2 linked regions of the Mus musculus genome follow. The protein of the gene in region 1 interacts with the protein of each later gene in a pairwise test. Links are inferred from orthologs where the notes say so. Each region holds a gene or a part of one and is shown in the gene's direction. Other genes may lie near its edges. The genes, in order: Cpsf7 and Smad3.

The links.
Region 2: the proteins of Cpsf7 (region 1) and Smad3 interact in binary tests that used the Homo sapiens proteins (3 or more experiments, as listed by UniProt). The two-hybrid records come from large-scale screens. The link is inferred for Mus musculus from reciprocal best matches to the Homo sapiens genes CPSF7 and SMAD3.

The regions. Positions count from the first base shown.
Region 1 is NC_000085.6:10,523,907-10,527,820, forward strand, and holds the start of Cpsf7 (cleavage and polyadenylation specificity factor subunit 7), read left to right. Parts: upstream 1-1,337; 5' UTR 1,338-1,421; intron 1,422-1,587; exon of another isoform or gene 1,588-1,694; intron 1,695-2,045; 5' UTR 2,046-2,100; coding exon 2,101-2,154; intron 2,155-3,914. Other genes in the region: Sdhaf2 (succinate dehydrogenase assembly factor 2, mitochondrial precursor), read right to left, coding at 1,153-1,188.
Region 2 is NC_000075.6:63,667,300-63,671,113, reverse strand, and holds part of Smad3 (mothers against decapentaplegic homolog 3), read left to right. Parts: intron 1-3,191; coding exon 3,192-3,385; intron 3,386-3,507; coding exon 3,508-3,639; intron 3,640-3,814. UniProt on the Homo sapiens protein: Receptor-regulated SMAD (R-SMAD) that is an intracellular signal transducer and transcriptional modulator activated by TGF-beta (transforming growth factor) and activin type 1 receptor kinases.

The DNA.
Region 1 (3,914 bases):
AGCAACCAGCTGGTCATGGTGCCTCATGACTGTAATCCACGCACTTGAGAGGCTAGATCAGAACTACTATGAAGCTGAGGAGTTTTAGTACCTAAAAAACAGGGTAGCAAGGAAGGAGGAGGGAACACTGAACAACTTAAAAGAGTGTTAACAAAACTACAGCATTGCAGAAACACCGACACACTTAAAACACCCTCCTCTGGCCTTCATGGGCACCTACACACATAGTATGCATAAACTCACAAAGGCAGATAAACACATGTACATACTTTTTTAGTCTAAAAAAAAGAATAAGAAAAGAAAATGCGATTGCCTAGCAGGCAAGGCTCTGGGTTTGGTGCTTAGCACAAACAACAAAATTGTCATATGTGATATAAAGAATATTACATAGTATTAAGGAGTTAGCAGTAAAGTATAATAATCATAAATATATGTGGATCTAATAGAGCACTCAAATATATGGAAGAGACACTTGACAGAACTGGTGGGGGAACACAACAGATTTTAATGCCACATTTTAATAAGGAATAGAATATATAGATGTCGGAATCAATACTAGACAACCAGAACAATACTAATTTAAGAATATTTAACTGAGATATACAGGCATTCCACACAAGAGATCATACATTCCTCTCAAATGTACAGATAATTATGCCCAGGAGATCACAAGTTGTCAAAAAACATGTCTTGATAAGTTTAAGATAAACCATACCAACTAGCTTTCAACACTACTGGAATAAAAACGGAAAATTCTCAAACATTTAAAACCAAGATGAGACAGGAGAATTACGAATTTGAGGCCAGCCTGAGTAACAAATTAAAACCGGCTTTTAAAAGGGAGACGGGGGAAGAAGCTCAAGAAAAGCTAGGAGGCTTTCGGGGGAGGTTCGGTAACTGTTCCTGGTATGCGTTGAGTCTCACACGGTGACTGGCCACCTAACCACATATTACCCAGTATTCTCACTCGAGCACACCGTGGGCTCAGGAAAGAATGGAAAATTCCCTGCATGATCGGCTCCAGCCTGCGCCTCGCCTTGAGGGGACCATTCCCTGGTCTGTGGGGTAGGTGAACTCTCCCTACAGTCTCCACGGCACAGAGGAGGACGAAACAGTCTTAGCTGCAGCCCGCCCCGAACCCGGCTCTCTCACCCGCGCCAGCGTCGGGATCAAGGTGACCACCGCCATCTCTCTCTTATAGCACAGTAAGCTGGCAACCGGGCCACTTCCGGGAATTCCGGGCGGTCGATCTGAGGACTTCAGCGGAGGTGGACCCCAAGCCGGAAGGCGCAACCGAGCGTATGGCGGAAGTAGCGGTGCGTGTGACGCCGCCGGTGGGGGGGGGGCGGGACCTGGGGCGGAGAGCGGTTCGCGCGCTTCGGGCCTAGTCGGGACTCTCCGCGGCCGCCGCCATATTCCCGGTAACGGGGGCGCGCGGCCCGGGGCCGGCGGGGCCGGAAGGAGGGCGGGGGCCGGCGCCGCGGAAGGGAGGGGGTCGGTTGGGGTGGCGGCGGCGGAAGACAGCGGGTGGAGGGAAGCGCGGGCCTCTGAGGGAGGGGCTGAGGTCCTGGAGCTGTGGGAGGGAGCAGGGCAGGCCTAGCCTAGGGCGAGGACAGGGCCCCGTTGGTGTGGAGGCGGCGGGAGCTTCCGGGCCCGCGGGGGCTCCGGCTTGGGACGCCCCCTGGGCCTAGCAGGTGCGACGGGCTGAGCTTGCGGCGTTCGCCGCGGTGGTTCACAGCGCGGCCTGAGGGCCCTCTCAGGAGTCGAGGCCCGGACTTGGCGGTGGCGCCATAGGCAACTACGGGCGCCGACTCGGAGCACCTCGGGTCGGGCCCGCGGGTGATGGGCAGCGAGCTCCGCGAGCCCGAGCGGCCTGGGAGAGCTGGGGGCGGCGCGAGGCTGGGGGCGGGGCAGAGCGGGTGGGGCCAGGCTCCCGGCCGCCGGGATGCTGCGTCTTGGGAGACTAGAGCTTGTTGACCCTTGCCCTCCTCCCAGCCTGGGACCCTTGTGCCTTAAAATTTTTTACCCTTTTCTGAATACCGTAGTGGCATCTTTCTTACTTTGTCGGTTCTCCGGGCTCGAGAGCGTATTTCCGGAGCCATGTCAGAAGGAGTGGATTTGATTGATATATACGCTGATGAAGAGTTCAATCAGGTGAGAGGAATTAGCAGCAGTTTTGGGGTTTCTTCCATCAATCTACTGGCAGTGGTTTCTCTCTCAGCTCAAAATAATTCCCTGTAATATCGAAGCGTTTCCCCCTAGCGGTGGCTTTGAAGACGACTGACCATTCCTCTTTAGGTTAATTTGAACCTCCAGGCTTCAATTTTAAAGGGCTTGCTTTAAGAGCAAATAAAAACCCAAGTGTAATAGTATGGTGAATCAGCCTGTGGAATTCTTTCCCCAAGTCATTTCAAAGTTGAATGACTAACCATAATTAAAAATGAAAATTACATTTGTTGTAGTACTGCGGAGATAATTTCGATGCTTGTTACTTTGCTGTTCTCTCAACTTGTGGCTCGAGCATGTTGGTCCCTCCCCCTGCTTGGTCCCCTCCCAATGGTGTACCATGAAATTACTTTAAAAGCCACAGTATACCAACTGCTTTAAAGGTGGAATTCCAGTGCCACTCCAAGTGTTTCAGTCTTTTTAAATAGCTTGACTGTCCTTTTTGAGAAGTCTCTGGGCATCCATTCGTATGGATGGAAGGAAGAAAGGTAAAAACCATTGAATAAACTAGTTTAAAGGCAAGTCAAGGACTCAGTCATCCTAGTTTGAATGTGTGTTTTAACATTTAAGTATCCCGTAAGATAGTAATCTGTGAGGTTGAGTTCTTCAATCTTGAGGTCAAAACTCAACAGAAAGTTTCTATTTAAAATTTTTATCTTACCTGGGTTCTTTTTAGTACTGTTATTGTTGAGCTAGCTGGTTCTTGTCATTGGTGTGTTCCAGTGGGTACACAGAAGGACCTGGAAAGAATGGGCTAGAATGCCTAGGTGGTAGCCTGACTTTGACAGGCAACAAAAGAGGCTCATATGTCCCATTATTGTATTTTAAATTTTGTGTGTGTGCCTGGTTTGTAGGTGCCCAAAGAGCCTAGTGGTATGGGTCCAATGGAGCTGGTGTTACAGGTGGTTGTGAACCACCTGATATAGATTCTAGTAACCAGACTCAGGTCCTCTGGACAAAGTGTTCTTAGCTACTGAGCCCTCTCTGCAGTCTTGCTTTCCTGAGTTTTATGTGTTTATTTGAGTCATACTTTTGTCGTTTGAAGTTTATGGCTTTTTGTTTAACAAGACTCTCTTAGTTCTGTATTACTGAAAGATAGCCCCAATTCTGAATCTATGTCATTGACTAGTACTGTAACTAATTCACTTCAGAGAATAGACAGTTGTTGACCACGGGCCATATTTGATCTAAAAACAAAAAAGGAATAAATGGTTTATAACTTAGGGGTCATAGACAAGACACAGTTCTTGTCCAGTGGACACGGCTTTGTCAAGGTACACATTATTACCCTCAGTAATTTGTTTATTAATTAACTTTTTTAAAAAAGGACTTTCTGATCTAAAGCCAAAATTAGTATGTGGACATTTATACCAAGCAGGCAATGTTGATATGGGGAAAACTGAAGCAAGTATCAACTTTGAATGTTTTACGTTCTAAAAGTTGAGAAAGGAGACCTCATCCCCATAAGTTCATTTTTGGCAAAGCTGGTTTTAGTGCAATCTGGAAGTTGCTAAATTGTTTAAAAAGTCTGGGTAGAGTTGTTAAAAGTTGGCTTAGATGGAAGTCAGCCTGTATGAATTGGGTTTTTGAATGTCTTAGAAGACAGTTACTGATTTGTCCCAAGGTAGCCCAGCATACAACTCCCTCAAGAGCACTGTGGTCCCTAAGGAAAATGAGCACATTTACTA
Region 2 (3,814 bases), on another chromosome or scaffold:
TGGCTGGTCACAGTGCATACACAGCCAGGAAGGAGACTGAGATGAAGGCTTGCCTAGCTCATGTCTTCCTTTGTCCAGGATCTCACCCCAGAGACTGGTGCTACCCAGAGTGGGTTACTCTCCTTATCTCAGTGAACCTGATTGGGATAATCCTCCGCAGACATCACAGAGACCCATCTCCCAGGTTCTTCTAGGTTCATCAGATCGACAGTTGAGACTGACCATCACAGTTTTGGTCAGAGTATTTAATCACAGCAACTGAAAAAGAAACTATTACAGCAAGCTTTTGCTTTGGACTTTTAAGGAAACTCCCTAGTTGTCTCTCAGAGCCATTGTATCACTGTTTTCCATGCGTGATGTTTAAGAGTTCTGGTTGCTCCACACCATTGCCAGCACGTGGCACACACGGTCCTTTTAAATTACAGCTGTTCTGATGGTCATATGGTGGCATCTCATTGTATATAGTTACGTTTTGCTTTATGTATATGGGTATTTTGCCTGCATTTATTTATGTCTGTGTACCATGTGTGTGCCCAGTGCCTGAGGAGGTCAGAAAAAGGCACCAGAGACTCTGGGACTAGAGTTACGGATGCTTGTGAACCTCTGTGTGGGTGCTGGGAACCAACTTTGCTCCTCTGCAAGAACAGCACGTGCTTTTAACTGTGGAGACATCTCTCCTGTCCCTTCGATTTAATCCACGCTTTCCTTCTTAGTAATGACATAGAACATCTTTGCCATCTTTAACTTTTTAAACTAGCATTTGATTAAGGGAATCACCTGCTATTTGAATGTTGGGTTGCTTTTGGCATTCTTTATCCTAGAAAGGACCTCTGTGAGATATATTCTTTGCCGGTGTTCTCCTCTGACTTGTTACCTCTCTTTTTGTCCAAGTTTTATACCGATCAGAAGCCTCTCTCCTGAGTCCCATTGTATCGATATGTCAACTTTGACTTTTACGGACAGTGTTTTTGGTGGAGCAGCTGAGAAATCACTGTCTGGTCACAGAGTTCCTCAATGGTTTGAGATTTATTCTTTGACCCTTAGTTTCTACAGAGGTGTAAGGTGCAGGTTGAAGTTCATTTTTCTTAGTGTGGATCTTCAGGAGGCTCAGCACCACCTGCTAAAGGATTAACCCGTCCCTGCTGGTGTGTCTTTGGACTTTCGATACAAGTCAATGTCCCATGTATATGTGACGGTCTTTGTTGGGTCTTATTGGTGTCATGGTCAGTTTTGAGGATGTCGGCACACTACTTTGATGATGGAAGCACTCTTGCTTTTTTTTTTTTCCATCTACTGTTTGTCTTTGTGCATGTATATGTGTACTTGTGTGGGTTTGTGTGTGTGCAGGTATGCTGATGTGTGCAGGGACCTAGGCACATGTTCGAATGTCTGTGGCTGCCAGAAGGTAGCTTTGGCTGCTGTTCCTCAGGTGCCATCCACTTTGTTTTTATTCTTTGGGACAGGGTCTCATTGACCTTGGTCTCACCATATAGGCTAGGCAGGGATCTGGCTGTCCCGCCTCCTCTGTGCACTACCCAAGCCAGCTCTTCTCACATGGGTTCTGGAGACAGAACTCCTTGTGTTCTTACACTCGCAACGCAGGTACTTTGCTAAGTGGATCGTCTCCCTAGCACCCGTTGTTACTTTGAAAGCAAGAGGATACCCCTCCCAGTGCCCAGGAGGGACTCTCCAGCTCCACTCTTCCTCATGGCTGGCATGGCCCTTCTCTGGCCATTTCTCTCCTGTCCCCCTCTTTCCCATCAGAGAGGTGGCCACAGCATCCAGCTAACCTTGTGTTGAGGCTTATGTCATACCCTGGAGGGACAGTGTGGCCACCTCCCTTATCTTTGGGGACTTCGGTAAAGAAAGTGAGGGGAGCTGAAGGATTTTGTCTCCATCTACTACGAACCACTCTCTTGTTGCCTCTTCTTTGACCCCAACTCAGCCCCCGCTTGCCTAGGGCTGGCTTAGAGAATAACAGCAGTCACCGGTAACACTGAGAGGATTTCTCCCCAGGTGGTGCTCTGCAAAGTGCTTTCTAGTAGAGATCAGGTGAGGGGAGACTGTCCCCATCTTACACATGGGGCAGTTGAGGGTCCTAGTGCCCAGGCTTGCATAGTCAGGAGCATCTTCAGGTCTTAGGATTTCACATCTGGCTGCCTTCCTCCTGTGCCTCAAGGGCTAGTTTCAGGCTGTCCTCTCTTGTTCAGCTCTGTAATTACTGTTTTCAGCTGTAGGGGCTCCTTGGTCTGGGCCTCATGGGAGGGAGGTAATTACATCCTTCCACAAGTCCTTAGTCAGCAGCTCTCAGTCCCTGTGACCAGGCCTAGCACTGACCTTTGTCCCTCCCTATTCCAAGCCAGTAGCTTGGAGATTATTTGGACCCTGGTTGGCTCTGGTTGACACATCTGGCCAGCCCCTCTATTATAAAGTACTCATAAAATCTGTTGAATTCAGACCCATACGTGCCATAGGGACAGAGGGACAGCTTTCAGTGGCCCTCTGCTAGTCTGGCCCAGCTACTAAAAAACATCATGCCCTCAACCCTGGGCTCCTAGAACAGCTTTCTTGTAGAAAGGACAGTCTTGCTTCTCCTAATCTATACTCGCCACCCCACCGCCTCCCAACCTGTGGACCCCACACAGCCAGACTTATTGTAGGGCCTGTTGTGCTCACATGTGTACACGTACACAGTCCATTCAACATCTAAGAGGCCATTTTTTGCTTTCAGAGAAAAGTAGGACTCCCTGCCAGGTCAGCTCTCCAGGCCATTCAGCTTCCTTTTGTAGTCTTATACTTGGCTTCCACCCTGTTCAGCAGTCTCCTCTACGGGGCCAGACTGGTGGCATGTATATCTACTTAGGCTTAGTTCAAGAAGGTCCCCTTCCTTGAGAGCTGCTACTCTGAGAACCCTGGAGCCTATTGGGTACAAGAGCCTCTCTTCCAGCCTAGGGGACCTCAGCCTTCCTTAGTGGGCCTCCTTGTTTCTTTTGGGAGCTGGGACCCTGTTCAGCAAGAACAGTTAACAGTGGTGCTCAGACCTCCTGGTCCCCTGTGTCTAGGGGAGAAATGAACGCAAATGGGCCTGCCAGCAGCCTTGAACTCCCCAGGAGCTGCTGGGAGCTGGACTTAGGAGACGGCAGTCCAAATCTACTTAACTGACACTTTCTGTTCCTTCTTTGCCATGGCAGGTCACTGGATGGTCGGCTGCAGGTGTCCCATCGGAAGGGGCTCCCTCACGTTATCTACTGCCGCCTGTGGCGATGGCCCGACCTGCACAGCCACCATGAATTACGGGCCATGGAGCTCTGTGAGTTTGCCTTCAACATGAAGAAGGATGAAGTGTGTGTAAATCCTTACCACTATCAGAGAGTAGAGACGCCAGGTGTGTGAGTGTGTCCCTGCCCTCCCCCTCCTACCTACTCAGGAGGGTCTCAGAAGCCCTTGGGGCTGGGACCTCAGTGCGCTGGCACTGATCCACCTCTGTTGTGTCTCTCTTGGGGACAGTTCTACCTCCAGTGTTGGTGCCACGCCACACCGAGATCCCGGCCGAGTTCCCCCCACTGGATGACTACAGCCATTCCATTCCCGAGAACACTAACTTCCCTGCTGGCATTGAGCCCCAGAGCAATATTCCAGGTAGGTACGGGTGGCAGCAGAGGTGGCCAGGAGGCAGGGGTGGTGCCATTTCCCCATCTTCTCCAGATCGTGGGCATACAGCAGCAGGCTCTTGAGCCCTGACTCTGAACCGCATCCCTGCCGGGAATGATCAGTGGCTGGAGCTCCCCTAACGATGTTTTTCTTGGCACAGAGG